4 linked regions of the Nothobranchius furzeri genome follow. The protein of the gene in region 3 purifies or fractionates together with the protein of the main gene of each other region. This does not show direct contact. Links are inferred from orthologs where the notes say so. Each region holds a gene or a part of one and is shown on either strand. Other genes may lie near its edges. The genes, in order: ep300a, cop1, protein c-Fos and stk40.

Region 1 (4,325 bases), on a different chromosome or scaffold from region 3:
GGGGTAGCCGGACCCGTTGCACCATTGTTGCCTCCTGGAGAGGGCAGACCTTTTCCTCCAGGTGGCATCCCTGGATTGGGCTGACCTACTCTCTGCATGCTGGCCATTCTCCTCCTCAGCATCTGAGCCTGCTGCAGCCGGTGCTGCAGCTGCTGCTGGCGCAGCTTGTGCTTGATGTTCAGGCAGAACGGGACAGGACACTTGTTCTCCTGACAGTGCTTAGCATGGTAACAACACAGTGCAATGAGCTGCTTGCAAATGGGACAGCCGCCGTTGGTTTTTCTCTTGCAACCTTTTGTGTGCTGAACGACACGCTTCATCTTCTGACATGATGGCAGAGAGCAGTTTGCGTTCCTGCACTGGCACGCGTGGACCAGAGACTGGATGCAGCGCTGGATGCTTAGGCGACGTGAGTCTCCGGGGCTCTGAGTGGTCGCAGCAGCCTGGTTGCTGCTTTCATCGTCCAAACCGAGCCCTAGCTTGTCCATCTTGTGCTCGTGGCCCTTAGTGTTGTAGCACGTGATGCAGAGGTCGTAATCCTGCAACAGAGGGGCATGAGCAGCAGAGTAAGTCTGATGAAAGTACGACAATGTTTACAACCAGCTCTGAGACATCACAGACAGACTTACCTCACAAACGGTACAGTGGAAGCGAGTCTCCACATGGTGCTTGCATTCATTGCAGGTGTAAACAAAGCGGTCCTGACTTTGGTTATGCAGCTCCACCAGCATGCACATGGAGCTCCACTTAGCCCGCCTCAGAGAGCTGAACTCCAGGTGTTTGTCCCGGGCCAGAGTCAAAAAAGCATCACGACCATCCATGAGGTCACACGCCATCAGGGGATCTGGGTCGATAATTGGGGGCAAGGCATTCGCCATGGGGCCGGCAATTAGCCGGATCACAAAGAACACCTAGAGGAGGAAGACAAAGGCAGAGCAGACAGTTGACCTTTTAAATGGAGTTATGCAAGAACAAGTGTATAAATACAGGCTTATTCTATTTTCTCTCTTTTGCTTTAAATACTTCAGATCAGCAAATAATTCAGTATCGGACTAAACGCGATGAACATCCAACACTGGTATAGGGTTGGGCATCTAGCATCGATTGGAACCAGGAGTAACTGTCAGTTGTTCCCAGAATTGTTCAAATTTTGTCATTTCAATTCTGTTTCAATTCCCAGTCCCAGACCAGAAGAAGAATCTGAGGCTGATTTTCGTAAAAAAAATAACGTGATCTGAAAAATCTGATCAACGCCTTTCAGAGCCGATCATACCACGTCTGTCGCTCCTACTTTGCAGCCTGCAGAGACCCGGTTTTAAAGAACAAACTCTGGGCAAAGTGAGGCGAGTTTTTAAGGCTCACCGCAGAAATAAAAACACACACAGCAACAGCAGTCAAACACAGCGTGGACTGGAAATGGAATCTAGGAATCAAAATTTTAAAATTTGAACGATTCCAGGAAAAACTGATAGCCTTCATTCCGATCAATGTCCAACCCTACTCTTGAAAGAATCAGAATCGGGAATCGATAGGAACCGGAATCGAAACGAGGAACCGGAATTGTTCAAATTCAAATCATTCCCAACCCTACATTTGTAAAGCGCCTTTCTGAGTCTGAGAACTCCAAAGCGCTCCATACATTTACACGCTGGTGCTCTGATGGAGACGAGGCAGATGCCACCAATTCCTCTGACCACCAGCAGGCAAGGAGGGTTAAGTATCTTGCTCATGGATACAACATCTGTTGCTCTATATCAACATCTGTCTTCTCCATCCCCAGTGAGTCGTGGAGGATGGCTGCTTATACAGAGCCAGGATCCTCTGGAGGTTTCCTCCTGTTAAAAGGGAGTTTTCCTCTCCACTGTCGCTAAACGCTTGCTTAGTATGAGGATTGCTGTAAAGTCACTGACACCAGTTAGCCACTTGATGCAATTTGCTGGGTTCCTTATATAGGAAACATTATTTCTGATTGGCTTAATGAACTGACCTGTACTGGAATGTTTACCATGTGAAGTGCCCTGAGACGACTCTTGTCGTGATTTGGCGCTACATAAATAAACTTGAATTGAACATAACTGAGAGCCTGGGTTTGAACCTGCAACCTTCTGATTACAGGGAAAACTACAAACTAAATGTGTTTGCTGCTCTGAAACATTTAGGACACAAAGAAAAAAGCAGAACCAGGAGACATCTTGTGCATATTCCTCTGCTCCTACCTCTTTGTGTTTTTCCATAGTAGCATAAAGTTTCTGAGAAAGGTCATTAGAGACGTTGGGCATCCCCGGCTTCTTCTTATTAGATCTGCTCAAGCTGCCCTTGTTCTTACTCGTCTTTTTGTTGTTCTTCTTCTTAGCATTTTTGCTGTCACTCTTTGTGTCCTGCACATAAAAGTGTTTTGGGGAAAAAAAGAAAATAAATCAGTGATCGTCTAAACAACAAGCTACAGTGCCAGCCTTATTTTTAGGCCGTTCTTAAGTATAAAACACACGTAGGATCAGAGGTGATGAACAAGGACTCAGTCTTACATCAATGCTCTCGTTAGAAGTGCTGTTTTCTTCCCTTTTCCTCTCCTCCTCCTCCTGCTCCAGCTCTTTAATGCTCTCCTCCAGCACGTTGGGCCAGAAGTCACCCTCAAAGTAAGGCAATTCCTTGGCACTTGTTAAACGATCCTCCGTCGCTTGTTTGAAGATATCCTTTCAGGGTGAGTACAGAGGTAAATTAGGGTTTTGCACTAATCAAGAGTCATTTTAAGCATGGTTAATAAACGCTGCTAAAAAAGAGCATTTACCTTGTAGTCGTGCACGATCCTCTCAGCCACAGCCTTGTCTAACATCTTCTTGTACCACTCCTGAAGGCGTTTGGGTTTGGGAATTTTCTGATCTGCTGGATGGCAGTGAAAGATGTAGTCATCACCCTCGCTGGGTGGGCAAGCCCAGATGTGACCAGTGGTGTAGCTAAGGACACAGAAAAGGGACCAAAACGTATTTACTAACGAGAAAATGAGACGTCTAAATGAAAACATTACTATAATTTTCCCAGCCGGAGAAGTGCTGAACACTAGTCTGGTCTCAGGACTCACCCCAACTTCTTGGCGTACTCCAAGTAGCCAATGAGGATTTCATGGTAAACTGCTGTTCTTAGACTGCGAGGCCGGAAAAAGTGTACACTGTCCAGGTAGGAAATGTATACTCGCCTGAGAGGACAGAACAAAGGGTTCAAGGCTAATAAACTGTTGCTTATGTATATTTAAAGAGGAGAAGCTGCAGTGTTTTTGTTTGAAAAGCCCGTCATGTTTACCGCTGGTTGGGCTGAGGGCAGTCTGATCCGTACTCCTGGACATGCATCCCAAAAAAGCAAACATCCACGCCGTCAATGTCTTCAAATGCAAAAAGTGCCTTTGTCCTGTAGGGGAAAGACTCGGACATCTCTCCGCTGTCCACAAACCTGGAGACAAAAGCATCAATAACCTTAAAATCCAAACAAGAACAGTTGTGGGAGGTTAAACTGTCCATGTGTCTTTTGTTTCCTACCTGGACTTCATGCCTGGTTTCACCTCCACCACTTTATCCGAGACATGGACAACACGAATGAAGACCTCTCCAGAGTCTGGAAGGGCCTGACGCTTCAGGAAGTCGTTCACCCTCGTCTCCAGAAAACTCCCCAGCCTCGTCTGAGGCAACCCTGTGAGACAGTTAGTCAACAACTGTAAGAACAGCTAGCTTTGTTGCTAGCATTAACAACCTGTCCATCTGGAAAAATTTACTTCCTGAATCATAATTTTCTAGTAAATCAAATTTTACAAAAGGAGAAGGTTTTCAGTTCTTGGTTAAATCTGTGTCAGCAGGACAGGCCTGTACAGGAATCAGTCCTTTTGTGTGACAGATACATTTATCTCAAAATATCTCCTAAACATTCGGGGGGTGGGGGGTGGGGGGGGTGGGGGGTGGGGGGCTCTGCATGTGTGTTTCTGTACATTTGAAAACAGTTCTTACCTTCAGATTGCCTCCTTGCATTATTAGAGCAATAGCCTTTAAGGTTTACATGGCATGATGTCATTTCCTGCCATATTTGTTAATGTTACTGTACATTGTGAAAGTGCTGGACCTCAATTTGAAGAAAATCATGAATCAAATAGAAATTGCAATTTCTGCCAGAAAACTTGCAATTCGATCTTTACCTAAAATTGATCACGTGTTAATGCTCCCGATCCGATTCAGAGTCATTTGATTTTGAGAATCTGCCGATACCAAGTCATGATCAGATTATTTAGAAATGCATAAAGAAAAAAAAGACACTAGAGTTGTCCTTTAAGTTTTTTAATCATT
Region 2 (4,860 bases), on a different chromosome or scaffold from region 3:
CACCTTTCCTTTTGCTGGGAAAAAAAAGTTATTTCACAGCCCAACTGAGCTCCACTATGATAAACTTCTTCCGCAAACAAAAACATGGGAAAATCCATGTCTTGCATGCCTACGTAGACAACCCCCCTCGTGTTTGTCTAAGTAGAGGTAAAGGTGGAAAAACAAGTAGCAGGTTGAATAAACTGTGAGTGAATATTTTAGTGCTTCTTGTGTTTTATTTGCAGAGCTGCAGGTGGATGCCTGAAAGACACAACTCTGTGTATCTTGGCTTAATCACTGATTCTTGGAGTGACCAAGTAAAAGCAACTAAAATATGAGCCTCTGAATAAAATCTAGATTTGAAAGGATCAAAAAATGTAAAATGAAGTAAATATGGTTTTGTTGATATTAAATTTACAATTTAATATTTTAGGGGGGGAAATGGATGCATGGATATTTTAATCTTGCTTCTGCCTGCATTATGAATATCAACCTTGTTCTATATTCATGGTTATATGATATTACTAATTTAGTTTTAGAAAATGAAAACGGAAAACCTAAAGACGTATCAATGGAACTCATGAACACACACACACACATGTCTGTCTTTCTATCATAGTGAGGACTTTCCATTGACTTCCATTCATTTTTGTGACTCCACTATGCCTAACCCATACCCATACCCTACCCATAACCAATGCTGAGCTATTGCTAACCCTATAACAACTTAATTCACACCATATCTCTAAAACCCGCTGGTAAGCTTTTTTAAAAAATGAGGACCAGAAAAATGTCCTCACTTATAGGGAAAATTGTGAAAATGGTGTTCAGTAATTCCCCTCAAGAAATCACATCACTCATGTTCTTAAAAACCTACACTGGTTGCCAATAGGATCATATGCAAGATCCTACTACTTACATTTAAATCTGCATGGCTCCACTTTATCTATGTAATTTACTAACTATTGCTACCACTTCCCGATCTCTTAGATCCTCATCTGCACTTCATCTGGTTCAACCTCGAGCTCGCCTTACCACCATGGGGAGCAGAGCTTTCAGTTGCTCTGCTCCACGGCTCTGGGACTCACTTCCCTCTGTCATTAGAAATACGGACCCTTTTCCATTATTCAAGGGGCACACCTGAAAACCCACTTATTCAAACAAGTTTATTCCCTTTAGACCTAGACTTTAGAATTGTTTCAAAATTGTATGTATCTTGTTTGTTTTTATTGCCCTATCTAACCTCTGTTGTTTTTTGTTTTTATCTTTGTAAGGTTACCTTGGGTTTGAGAAAGGCGCCCTCAAATAAAATGTATTATTATTATTATTATTATTATTATTATTATTATTATTATTCAGTATGTAGTAAGTACTAGAAAACACACACACACACACACACACACACACACACGTGCGCGCGCGCGCGCCGTTGGCGAAATGCATCCTCTAATTGCACAAACTCCTCTCCGCTAGAGAGCGGTAATTGAAAACACGGGGCAAAGTGGGGATCCTTCTCTGCAGTTAACAGGAGAAGAAGAAGAAGCTAACGGGAACTAGCAGGCTAATCTCCACAACGCTGTCGTGGTTTTGTGATTCCCTGTTTCAGTATTCGTGTTTTTTTTCCCTCACATATTTTTGTGTTTTATAACTTGGTAACCTAACTATACCCAAGTGACAAGCGCCCGACAAACACCGGTGGACACGGTTTACAGTAGCTCTGTATGAGCACTTCTGCTTTTCTCCCAGGATACTAGCGTATCACCAAGGCAGCTAAGTCGGCTAAAGGAGCCCAACAACAGCGCTGTCCGGATGCTTTGAACAGCAACGGAGCCGATTTTTGGTGGAGTTTTCAAAGCCGGTCTTGCGTGATGTCAAGCAACCGGCCGCAGTCAAACAGTGGCGGGGCAAGTTCGGTGCCTAGCACCAGCAGCAGTAGCGCAGGAGGCAGCGGGAGCACCACCGTAACAAGTAATGGTAACTCTTCTGGGAACGTTGTACCCTCCCGGGCTATAGCAGCCGGCGAGAGCGGCTTGTCTGTACCAACTCTGTCCGCCGTTTCGTCCCGGGGCGAGTTCTCTTCCCTCAGCAGACCATCTTCAACCTCGGGAAGCAGGAAGAGATCCCTCCATCCAACACCTTTATACAACGGCCTGTTGGATTCATACGAAGATAAAAGCAATGACTTTGTCTGGTGAGCTCTCTGTCAGCTAACCGAGACTGTGCTGTGAAAGCTGAGTTTCTGATTCATATTTGTCTTTTCTTTTAGCCCAATTTGCTTTGAAATGATAGAGGGGGCGCACATGACAAAGTGTGGCCACAGTTTCTGGTGAGTGTGGAGCTGCAGCTCGGGTTGAATTGAATGAAACACCTTAGAAACACTATTCACTCACAGATAGTGGCTGTTATTCATGTTGTTTACAGTTAGGAGTCCGTTTGAACGGCGAATCTACTAGTTTTTAGTTATTAAAACTAACATTTTACATTCGTTTTCGCAAAAACTGTTAGTAAGGTGATTCTAATGAAATGCCCATCAAATAGATGGAATAGGTCAGTTTAAAACTAAATGAATGCAATCCTTATTTAACAAGTAAAGATCCTTGAGATTTAAAATGCCGTCTGCCAGAGTTACCTGGCCCAGACAGGCAGCGGCAGGTGATTGAATGTTTAAAAAATGTTGAAAAACCAGTTTGAATTCTGTCAGTGAGACATATTCTTTCAGATTGAGTCAGTTTTGGAGCTAATTCCTATAATAAAGGGCAGAATGTTTGAGTAGCTTAAAGGGGAACAAGTCGTGTCCACACCTTTGGTTTGTTTGGGGGGATCTGAGTATAATCGGAGAAAACCAAGAGTATTTTTTGAAGTGAGAAAACAAATACAATTATCAGTTGTATTGGAAAGGTCAGATTTTTTGCGGCAGACACTAGAGGGTGAGTTTTTTTTCATTCCGTGATTTTTAGAACAGACTTGTGTTTATTTCTGTGTTAAATGCTCCCCTTTCCCCTGTTGCAGTTTCAAGTGTATTCACAGGAGCTTGGAGGTCAGCAACAAGTGTCCCAAGTGTAACTGTATTATTGACAATGTGGCTCAGCTGTACCCCAACTTTCTAGGTGGGTGTTTTAAGTTGGATGGTTGTTTTTACAGTCATCATTTTGAGAATTTAGCTAGTTTCGTTTTAAAATAGGGTTGGGCATCGACTGGAACCGGGACCAACTGTTAGCTTTTTTTGGAATCGTTCAAAGTTTTTATTTTGATTCCTAGTAAGCCGACCGGAAGATGACACCAACACTCGTGTGTGTGTGAGCGTCAGAAGGCTGAACAATAACCTGTAAAGTCATCGTGCTAGAGCAGCTTTCTCTGTGGTGGACCACACCAGCTTCTGCCACAATAAATAATAATAATAAATCACATACAAAGTTGTGAAATTTCCTTTCTGAACTATTTCTGTTGAGAGTTTTAATGTTTAAATCTGTTAGATTGTTACTGACAGCAGCTGCATTTAAGTTTCACTTTCTGTTGTGACTGAATGCTGCTGCAGCATGGAGGTGTAGTTCTCAGTCATCCTGGACATGATCATCCTGAGAGTTTTAGCTGAAAACAGTTGCACGTTTCTGGATATGTTGGAGACATTTAGCCTCTCATCCCAGAGGCTGCTTCCAGACTTTGGTTGTGGTCAGAAACAAACACACTGGTTGTGCTGCAAGTCTTTTTCTTTTTTTCTCCAAAACATGTTTTGGTCTAAATGAAGGTGATGCTGTTGTTCATAGAATTAAAATTCATGTTGAAGTTAAGATTGTTTCATCAAGTAGGACCTGTGGTTAGCTGGCTCATGTAAAGCATGTCATGTCTTGAAAGAATCGGAATCGGGAATCAATAGGAACCAGAATCGTTCAAAATCAAACGATGCCCAACTCTAAAAATGTGATCAAGTCGGTGTTATCCTGCTCAAAGAAGGAGCTTATGTTGTTTCTCCTTGTCGCCCTCACTCTGCCTCTGCTGCCGTTTCCCAGTAAATGAGCTGATTCTTAAACAGAAACAACGGTCAGAGGAGAAGAGACTGAAATTAGATCATCCGGTGAGTGGTTCACATTTTATTCCTGCTTTGTCTTTTCCTTCTTTGTGACTCTCAAACTTGCAGACTTGTTTGTTTTAGAAAAATCTGTTTCTTCCTGCTGATCATTGTTTTCGACCCCTAGAACGGGCCGCAGTGGCAGGTCTTTCAGGATATTTTGAATCCGGATCAGGAGAACCTGGACCTTGCAAATGTCAATCTGATGTTGGAACTTCTGGTTCAGAAGAAGAAGCAGCTGGAAGCGGTAAGTCATTTTGTGCGTGTCTGCGAAGATGATTGTAAGAGTCATTTGTAGCCCATTCCTCGTTACCCTTAGCTAAGCAAGGAAGTGTGTTCCGAGTATAGAATTGGCACATGTGGCTGCAGAAATAATGTGCAGGCTTAGAATGAAATGCATAAAGGTTACTGCAGTAGAGGGAGAAGGTCAGATGTGAGGGTAGGAGATGTTCTCAGAAGAGTTGGGGCTTTAAGAGTTTCCTGGAGAGAGACATGGATGCCCCTGTTCTGGTTGAGTGACATGGGTCACGCCATCATCACGGAACGACACACCAAAAAAGTCAGAGTTGTCTTGAGTGTGACATCAGCACCCCTAGTCAATAACCCTCTAGTGACTGGAGTTTTGACATAAACTCCATTACCTGTTCTGTGATGAGACTTCTTGCATCCTGGATTAGATTAGGGCTGGACAATAATTCAATAACGATAAATATCCATCAATAGACGTGTGGTTAAATAGGAAAAAATGGATCAACAAAAACTTCAATGAAAGTTTCCTTTTTCCATCATAGCCTATTGGATAGCTTTATACTAGA
Region 3 (4,823 bases):
GTCAGGTGGGTCAGAATTCAGAAAGAAAAATGGAAATCAGTGATATGTGAGGGCGTCAGCATCCCTGATAAAAAAAAATCAACATCAAAATCAGTCATGGAAATGTCCTATTGGTGAACTCCAGTTAAAATTCCTAAAAGAAACAAATCAGGATCATTGTTTACATTATTATTTTCAGTTAAACCAGAGGTTTCATCCTCAACCCATAAGGGGTCTTTGAGGTCAAATGTATAAAGTTACTTTTATAAAACACCCATTAGTACAATAAAAACTAGATATATCAGACATATCTATAGTTTATATAGAGATATATGTCTATGTGTGCATGACGAAGTTTGTAATTAATCACTTTTAATGTGCAGGTAGGAGTTGGGGTTGGGCATCCTCACAAGAGGCAAGTCTTTTGTAATTTTATCAAGAGTAAAGTTACTTATATCACAAAAGAGATGCATTTATAGAAATGAGCATTGTCTCCTGCATTAAGTGCATATTGTTGTCTATTTCTGAGACGAGCGTGCTCTTCGTGCGTCTGGCTGCGTTTAGAGACGCATCTTGACGCATTCAGACCTTCCTTTGCAGAACCAAACACAGCTTTGTGGTTGAAGCGTTGCTGTCTGGTGATTTCGTCTGCAGAAGCTGTCGTAGCCAGTAGAGACGTGAGAAACAATGTGGCCTGGATTGCGGAATAAAGGCAACAGCTTTTCTTTCCGTCTTCCGGCGAACATGCCAGCAGCTGCTCTCGGCTCAGAGGAAACCTTTGGTGCGCTTTTGTGTCCGACCCATCGGGTCCGACCGTCCGTTCTGGTTCTGCTCACAGACTGCAACAGCGACTCCCCGTATTTGGGCACGGAAGTAACGCAACAGCGCATAATTTGCAAATTGAAAAAAAAAGAAGGAAAAAACGCACTGACGTCACAGCCCTGACGTACAGCAGACCTTGGCAACAGACGGAACAATAAATAGAGCAGGAAGGAGCAGGAAAAATACCGCTATCCCTGTTCAGGCCGATTTGGGGCATTATCATAACGTCCTTTGACACGTGGGCGGAAATACTTGATAAAATAAATAATATTAAAAGTCCAACAAACAAAAGAAGTGAATTTAAATATCGCTAAATTTTATTCACATATATAACAACATTTTTATACTTTGTAAAAAAATAAAACTCTCATAAATTAAAAGCACAAATGTTTTCACAGAAAACTTCATATTTTAAAGACCACTCAGACCATGGTTAAGACAAAATCACACCTGTCTTTTTATCACAAACATGTCATAATTACTCTAGTTTAACAGAAAATAAATAAGTATTGCTCTTAAAACACATCAGTAAACAATACGTTTAGTTATCTAGCACCATATAATCAGAGGAACTCATAGAACGACTATTGTTTGAAACATGCTTATTAACTTGCTACATGGTGTAATAGGCAAGTATATTTGTATATAAAGGCAGATAAAATCATTAAGAATTATGCTTCCATGTACAAGTCTGTGCTATTGCCCTTTGATGTGCACGTATATCTGAGGAGAATGTGCTTGTTAAGGAAGAACGATGTATCCAGGAAGAGTCCTTAAAGGGCCAGCAGGGTTGGGGAGTTGAGCGAGTCGGAGGACTGGTCGTTGCTGCTGCTTCCTCTCCTGTGAGCGACGCCACAAGAGGGGAAGGTCTCAGCCTCTGGGAAGGTAAACATGAATGAAGACGTGTGGGTGGTGCATGCTGGAGTGCAGGTCACGACAGGTGTGCACAGAGGCTCAAAGTCAGCATTATTGGCTGAGCTGTGGAGGGGCTCCCAGTCCTGACTTGTGTAAAGGGAGCTGGGCAGGTCGACCTCGGGGACTGAACGAGCCGTCTCCATCTCCGTCTTTGCCAGCAGGTCGAGAGACTCCTCCAGGACAGACGAGTCCAGGTCGGTCATCTTGACTGTGCTGTTGGAAATGGTTGTGGTGGAGAGGATGGGGGTGCTGCTGGAGAAGAGGGAATTGGAGGCTGAGGTGAAAGTTGGCTGACTAGAAGTGACGGCGGACTTTACAGGCTGGGAAGAGGGGATGGAGGAGTGGACAGGAGAGATGGAAGACAGGTGGAAGTCTGTGTCCAGCTCTGAGGGGATTTTGCAGATTGGCTGGTGGGCGGCCAGAATGAACTCAAGCCTCTCCTTCTCCTTCAGCAGGTTGGCAATGTCATTCTGCAGGACAGACTTCTCATCCTCCAGCTGATCAGTTTCCTGCCAGGGGAAGGAGGGGAAAAGAGGCATTTAGTCGGCTGCTGGAATGCACTGCTATTAGCTCTGGCAGTGAAAACATTCTGATAAGTGAAAGCAAAGTCTGGCGGGATACTTACAGCTTGGAGGGTGTCTGTAAGCTCTCGCCTCCTGTTGCGGCATTTAGCTGCTGCCTGCTTGTTTCTCTCTCTGCGAATTCTTCTTTTCTCCTCCTCCTCAATGCTCAACTGCACATCATAGAAGCAACAGAAAAGTTAACATCCCTGCTCCGTAATGCACTTTTGAGTTAATCCATAATATTGCAGAGGATAATCACCTGTTCCACTCTGCCTCTCTTGGAAACCTTGGATGCAGACTTCATAGCTGTGCTGGTGTAGGCTGGGCTGGGGCTGCTGGAGCTGTAGGGGTGAGCTCTGTGAGAGGGGGCCACGGAGGAGACCAGAGGCTGCACCATCCACTGCAGATCAGGGCTTGTGGAGATGGCTGTGACTGTGGGTATGAAGGAGGCACTTGATGCTGTCAGTTCAGTATAATCCTGCAGGGAAGAAGTGAAAGGTGGTTTAGTTTGAGGAGGGGGTTGCAGCAGCATATTGCTATAAAAAACTGGACAATTTAAAAATATCCCTATGATGTCAGCTGTGACGTTACATGCTCTCTATGGAGTTTCCAGGTGAATGCATGAAAATGGCATGATTGAATCACTAACTGCCCCTTTATTTCACAACATTTCTGTCACCCACGAACTTTTAAAAAAAAATTATTTTAAGTCATTATGGGAAAAAAATAACATAAATGGCGTATTTACCTGAGATTGTGGAGATTCTATGCTGGAATAAGACCCCGCCGGTGACGGGTAGTATCCAGGATTGTCCCCGCACGGGGACGCGGTGCTGCACCGGGAGGAAGAGTCGCACTCCGTGTTGAAAGCGGTGAACATCATCCTTTCAAAGCGCTAAAAAGAAGCTCGGGAGATCCAAACAAACTACTTCAGGGGAATGTAAACGGGAGACGAGGAAATCCCTTTTGCAGGTTTGGAAGCGCTCCTGTGGATCGTACTCCTTTAGTCGCTGCTCTGCTGCTCAAACTTCATCTGCCAACTCCGGCATCTCGGAGCGGTTTTATACACCAGGCCGTGACGTCGACTGGGGGCGTGTCTTCAACCTGAAACCGGCAGGAGGAAACCATAAACACTAGCATAACAACGCAGCCAAAAACCCAACACGCTAAATACGACAAGCTTATCACCAAGAAGCGTGTTGTCAACCTCTCTACGACGAGAACGTGTCTGTTTTTAAAGCCAGCGACCAATAAGTGGAATATTCCAGATCAAGGAATCCCCGATACGTAGTTTACCATATATGGTGCATCCTCCTGCGAGGTGGGCGGATCTTGATGGGAAACACCATCTGAGCGTCTGAGCGGCAGCAGCCTGGCGTTATGTAAAACTACAAACACAGAGGCTGTTGTGAGTAAACTACAATCATAGCTAACGGAATAGTTTTCACTACAAGTAGAAAAAGCAGATTTTTAGTTTGGTTCAAAACTAAAATAACCACAATCCATGTTTTCATAAGCAACCCATCTAAAATATATATATATATATATATATATATATATATATATATATATATATATATATATATATATATATATAAACATGATCTACTATCAGAAAGCACGTGCAGCTTTCTTCACATCACTTTTTTGCTAAAAATCTGTGAAGTTAAACATAATCAAATATTTGAAAATCATTCTGAGCAGTTTTATACTTTCTAAATGTGCTAACAAGTGATTGTACAGTGTTTGCTATCAAATGTTGTGTTAACATCTCAAAGAGCTGTTTTGGATTTTGGAAGAGGGTAAAATACCCAATAAATTGTTTAAAAAAGAGCCTAATTATCTTGCAGGAACGGATTTTTATTAAAGAAATATTTCATTTCCTGAGGTTGTTCAAAAGTGCCAAGCCTATGGGTGGAAGGCTAAAGAGGGCTAAACATACGTCAAAGGAAGTTTAGGTGTGTGTGTGTGTGTGTGTGTGTGTGCGTGCGTGCGTGCGTGTGTGTGTGTGTGTGTGTGTGCTTTCATCGAAAGCAGACTGCACCTGTAAAGAGGGAATCCTCAAGTATCTCGCTTTTTGACACCTGGCAACGTGCAGAGCTGAACCGAGTCACCACCCAGACCAAATTTTAAGTTTATTGTTCATCATAATTTGTAAAAATGTATTTTTCTTCACATAAATACCACAGTTTTTTCCTGCGTTTCAGAACGGGGATGTGAGGATTTTTGCTCTAAACAAATGAGATTTTGCCTTTAATTCCAAATGAAATCATTAATTCCTATTTTAGCATTAGAAATGACATTTTAAGTGCAAAAATATTCACATTATGTAAAAACCACAACAGAAATAACTGACTTTCAATGTATTGAAAATATAAAACTATTATTAATCTGAAATGTCATTAATAACGAGTTCAAAACGGTGTTATTGTGTCAAACAGCAGCAGATTAGTTTCGTTTACCGCGCTCATGTTTTGGTGCACATTCCTGGTTGCCCTAGCAACGGCCAACCCCTTGACGTGAACATTTTTGCATGTGGCCGCA
Region 4 (4,325 bases), on a different chromosome or scaffold from region 3:
TTTGTAATTATGTTTGGAGTCGAATAAGAAAAAGTGGTAAGGGTGGAGCTTATTTCTCTCTTCATCATCGTCTTGGCCGTTTGTCGGCTTTTAGTAACGTTTGCTTTTCTGCAAGTGTGCTCATGACGTTAGCGTGTCCTGCTAGAGCGAGACATCGTGCAGTTTGGTTCGGTGTCATCTTGGACCGTGCACTGTGCCTCGTGGCGTGAAACAGTCATGTGCAACAGCTGAAAAGCACAGTGTGCCCCGGGCTTCACCACCCAAATGGTGATTTTGGAGAGGACGTCCAGGTGAACGGCTTTCCTTTCCTTCTTTATCCTCTCACCCTACTTTAGAGCCCCCCCGAGTTGTTAGAAAAGCATCAGATGATCCTAGTAAAGATGCTTCCAGGCTCACATTCTGCTGTGAAAGACGGGCAATAAAACGAACACCAAAGAAAGGTCAAAGGTTCGAGGATCTTCTGAGACATTACTGCTTTGACTCTGCATCGCCTGTTGAGGTTTAAGCGACTGTGTGAACAAAAGTGAAACAGCGATCGCAGCAAAGAACGCACAGACTCCGACAGACTTACTTTCAGCTGATAGAAGTCGTCTGTGCCGTCTTTTCTGGCCAAACACTGAACTATGCTCGGCACCGGTGAGTTGCCCAGGCGAGGTCCTGCAAGGGTAAGGAAAAGAACAGCTGTGTAAGCAAAAGAGCATGTGCTCTCACTGTAACTCATTAAGGGCTCCATGTGCGTGTGCCCATCAACACCCAACGTGTAACGTTGCCTTTGGCACCAAATGCTGCAAATAGCTTAGGCACAGAAAAACAAACAGGCAACGAGAAAGAATGGAGGAAGAAAAGTTGTTCCAACTCAGACTTGGGCCTTTCTGGCCAATGTCATGGGGATCAGCAAAATTCCTCAAATTCTTGTCCCAGGCGGGAGTAGGTAAGCCCTCCGCAGCTCACAGTTCTCCCGAGTTTTCTGCAAATAAATGCTGCCACTTCTTCTGAACACTTTGGGTAAAACGTGGTAATAAAATCCCATACCAAGGATGAAGGGGCCAGCTCTCTTGGCATTACTGCCATTTATCCCGGGACACTGCAGCTGGCTGGCCCTCGACGTCTCTCCAGCTCCCCTCTCTGACGAGCGCCGCTTGGACATCCTGGAGCTCTACGAGGAAACAAATCTGATTAGTTTGTGGGCTAAAGATAGTCAAGTAAGAGGGAAAACACACACCTGGTGGTAAAGACACATTCTAAAAGGTAGATCGTAACACTTTGTGTCATAAAGTCTAGAATCTAGACGGTAATTTAAGAAAAACGGCATTAATGAAGAATTAAGAGCGAACGTAGAGCTTCAGCAGAGGTCACGCAGGCTGGTCATGAGTAAAGAGAGTTCAGGGCAGCTCCTGCCCCCTCCACACACATTTACACACCTCAATGCTAAAGCAAACCCATTAAGGTTCCATTTAAAATAATGGCGGTTGGTGTCAAGGGCAACACCTCAGATTCAATCTCCATAAAAGCACAAAACGAGCCAAACAGAAGTCTTCATGGTTGGTCTCTTTAATCCTGCAGCGGTGGACTTGGGTTTAGAAAATCCCTGGATTTTTAATCTGCACAGCCGGCTTATCTATACAGACCTCACTTTAAAAGGGAGTGCATGTTTTACCAAGGCAGAAATGTAAAATATAAAAGAAAAGCCACCAGGTTTGTGGGCAGGGCGATAAGGAAGCAGGGTTGTGCATGCCAGTGAGTGTGACACATCGCTGTTAAGCTACTTTAACCGACCGAGCCGATCTCCTTTACCTTCCTGAAGCCAGCGAGTGAGAGGTGTGCATTCTTTTCAGCTGATACCGAACGTCTGTGTGATGAAACACCATCTGTTTCTCGTAATGAGGAAGTAGAGCCACACATCGAGAGGAATGAGCCACCCTGCAGTCATCCCAAGTTTTCACTGGATGGAAATATTTAAATGTCTGGGTGACAACCAATCAAGGTGTCTCCAAACCTCTAACATGTGCGAGTATCTGGTGATGCCATTTGTATAACGTTACAGGGGAGGCGGTACGACATATTGACCCTTTGCACGTGACATCAGGCTGCTCTTCATGGGACCACCCCCTTAAACATGGCGGACAGTAAAAAGACTGTTCACACATGTTGAAACTTCATTGAAGCTAGTCAAAACAAACCAGTTTGTGGCTTTTATTGCTTTCATTTAGTTGTTTTCACAGTAAAATGGTAATAGCTGCTGTGCAGTTGGCAGAACTAGCAGACAAAGTCGGCCCACAAGTGAACTGGGCTTGAACTAGATGAAGCCATACTAAACATTGTTTTGCTCACTGTTTACTGTGCCTTTGCCATCTGATATGGCAGACCCATGTGATCAGGTGACGTTGGAGAAAAAGGATACTGAAAGCCATGAGATATTTGAGGCTGGACTTAATCGGAATATCAGGCCAGATGCTTCCAAGATAGCCTGGCCTGCTAGACTCGTCCTCTGTTTAAATCTGCACAGAGAAGAGAGTCTGGTAACTCACAGGCAGAGAGGCGCATGAGGGGCGGGACTAGGCAGCTCAAAAGTAACCAATCAGAAAAAAAGACTGAAATCCCGACCATATCGCACGGCGCTGTAGTTTTCTAGCTGTAGTAAAAAAAAAAACAGCGTCTAACAACGGTGCAAACATCTTTTATTTCTTTTTAGAAGAAAGGCTTTTAGCGCCTCTAATTGTGGTTTTAGAGACATTCAAGTCATTTAGAACAGAGGAAAGAGCTGCAGCGAACTCCGCTGCTGTCTTTATTGTTTATGAGGAACTGAGCGTCGCTGTGTGTGACGTCCGGGACCCTGTAGTTGTTTAGCTGTAGTTAAAATGGAGTCTGGGGACAGCGCAAACATCTTTCTTTAGAAGAAAGACTTTTAGCGCGTCTACTTGTTGTGTCCAAGTCATTGAGAACAGGGGAAAGAGGCGCAGCGAACTCCGCTTCAGTCGCCATGTTCGACAAACTCGGCGTTATGGTGTGTGTCGTATGCTACTCAGTGTTGATTGGCTCGGTTAGAATTCTCACGAGGTGGGGTTATTTGAACAGGAGAGTTGCCAGACCCTTTCTCTGTGCAGAATTAAACAGAGGAGGAGTCTGGCAGGCCAGGCTACTTCCAAGACACATCCAGAGTTATCGTGAGATCTCGTGGTTCCGTCACAATGAAAGCAGTCAGAACCGCTGCCACCTAGCAGTCGGAGTTTGAATTATACCAAACAAAAGAAACACAGTAAATAAGGGCATGTATATTCTCCGTTAGAAAACAAACACAGTGCTTTTAAATTTTGCTTTGGTATCATAACACAATATCGTTAACTCATTCACTGCCAGCCGTTTCCTGATCGCTAACGGCCTTCGCTGCCAGCGTTTCTCACCGTTTTACTGTTTTTTTAAGAGTCACAGAACGTTGCGTGCTAGCATGATGTCAACGCCAAAACAACCAAAACAAAGCGGAGACTAGGGCTGTCGCGGTTGAGGAATTCCCCCTGCAGTGAGTCAGGGCAGCTCAATATTGCGGTATGCGATATTATTGCACCCCGTTTTTATTTATGTACTTAGCAAATTTGTTTGTTAATTACTAAACTCATGGCAATATTTCCTTTGAAACATTGTGCTTACACATTTAAAAAATGTTAGAAAAAATACATGGCCATTTTTGACACTTTATTAAATGCAGATCGAAGGGCAGTAACGGCATTCTCTGACTGAACTTAAAAACAACATTCAGGAGGTTTAACTTTGAAATGCAAATTTGGCTTCAACATCTAACAAAATGAGATGTCCCAGGCACAGTCAGTTCACTTTCACACACAAGAATAACGCCGGGGACACACCGGCCGCGGAAGCGCCGAGAAGCGAATCGCTCACGAAATTCGTTCGCTGCTCGCCGTTTCTCAGTTCAGATCAGACGCTTAGAATAGCTTAACAAGGGCACCGAATGAAGGCGGTCCCATTTTCGCGGCGCTTCCGCGGCCGGTGTGTCCCCGGCGTAACTGTGATTTATAACTCGGTCATGTCCTTGTTACGCGCAAGGACCACCAGCATGTTAACCTTATGCGGTTTGAGAGAGGATCTGAGAGTGGTGACAACATTTCCAGCGACACTAAAAACCCTCTCGGATGGTGCGCTTGTTGCGCAAATACACATGTACTTACATGCGACTTTGGAGAGCAATGGAAATCTCTCGTGGTTGTTGCGCCACCATGTCAGAGGGTTTTCATTAGGGTCAATGGGTTCCTCCTGCAGGTAGCGAGTGAGCTCCAGCTCGGCTCTAACTCTCTTCGGGACAGTTGCAGAAG

What was found.
Region 1: the proteins of protein c-Fos (region 3) and ep300a purify together in Homo sapiens (affinity purification with western blotting; 3 studies listed by BioGRID and IntAct, with this or other methods). This does not show direct contact. The link is inferred for Nothobranchius furzeri from reciprocal best matches to the Homo sapiens genes FOS and EP300.
Region 2: the proteins of protein c-Fos (region 3) and cop1 purify together in Homo sapiens (affinity purification with mass spectrometry; 4 studies listed by BioGRID and IntAct, counting the BioPlex papers as one, with this or other methods). This does not show direct contact. The link is inferred for Nothobranchius furzeri from reciprocal best matches to the Homo sapiens genes FOS and COP1.
Region 4: the proteins of protein c-Fos (region 3) and stk40 purify together in Homo sapiens (affinity purification with mass spectrometry; 3 studies listed by BioGRID and IntAct, counting the BioPlex papers as one, with this or other methods). This does not show direct contact. The link is inferred for Nothobranchius furzeri from reciprocal best matches to the Homo sapiens genes FOS and STK40.

Annotation. Positions count from the first base shown.
Region 1 is NC_091756.1:27,956,195-27,960,519, forward strand, and holds part of ep300a (histone acetyltransferase p300), read right to left. Parts: intron 3,682-4,325; coding exon 3,531-3,681; intron 3,445-3,530; coding exon 3,298-3,444; intron 3,194-3,297; coding exon 3,080-3,193; intron 2,955-3,079; coding exon 2,789-2,954; intron 2,694-2,788; coding exon 2,526-2,693; intron 2,379-2,525; coding exon 2,217-2,378; intron 912-2,216; coding exon 630-911; intron 540-629; coding exon 1-539. UniProt on the Homo sapiens protein: Functions as a histone acetyltransferase and regulates transcription via chromatin remodeling. Acetylates all four core histones in nucleosomes. Histone acetylation gives an epigenetic tag for transcriptional activation.
Region 2 is NC_091751.1:60,897,343-60,902,202, forward strand, and holds the start of cop1 (E3 ubiquitin-protein ligase COP1), read left to right. Parts: upstream 1-1,614; 5' UTR 1,615-1,847; coding exon 1,848-2,170; intron 2,171-2,245; coding exon 2,246-2,305; intron 2,306-2,988; coding exon 2,989-3,086; intron 3,087-3,986; coding exon 3,987-4,051; intron 4,052-4,172; coding exon 4,173-4,292; intron 4,293-4,860. UniProt on the Homo sapiens protein: E3 ubiquitin-protein ligase that mediates ubiquitination and subsequent proteasomal degradation of target proteins.
Region 3 is NC_091742.1:2,309,292-2,314,114, reverse strand, and holds protein c-Fos, read right to left. Parts: upstream 3,312-4,823; 5' UTR 3,163-3,311; coding exon 3,028-3,162; intron 2,758-3,027; coding exon 2,539-2,757; intron 2,450-2,538; coding exon 2,342-2,449; intron 2,226-2,341; coding exon 1,575-2,225; 3' UTR 1,097-1,574; downstream 1-1,096. UniProt on the Homo sapiens protein: Nuclear phosphoprotein which forms a tight but non-covalently linked complex with the JUN/AP-1 transcription factor. In the heterodimer, FOS and JUN/AP-1 basic regions each seems to interact with symmetrical DNA half sites.
Region 4 is NC_091745.1:70,998,613-71,002,937, forward strand, and holds part of stk40 (serine/threonine-protein kinase 40), read right to left. Parts: intron 4,304-4,325; exon of another isoform or gene 4,182-4,303; intron 2,107-4,181; exon of another isoform or gene 1,903-2,106; coding exon of another isoform or gene 1,795-1,902; intron 1,157-1,794; coding exon 1,033-1,156; intron 658-1,032; coding exon 572-657; intron 1-571. UniProt on the Homo sapiens protein: May be a negative regulator of NF-kappa-B and p53-mediated gene transcription.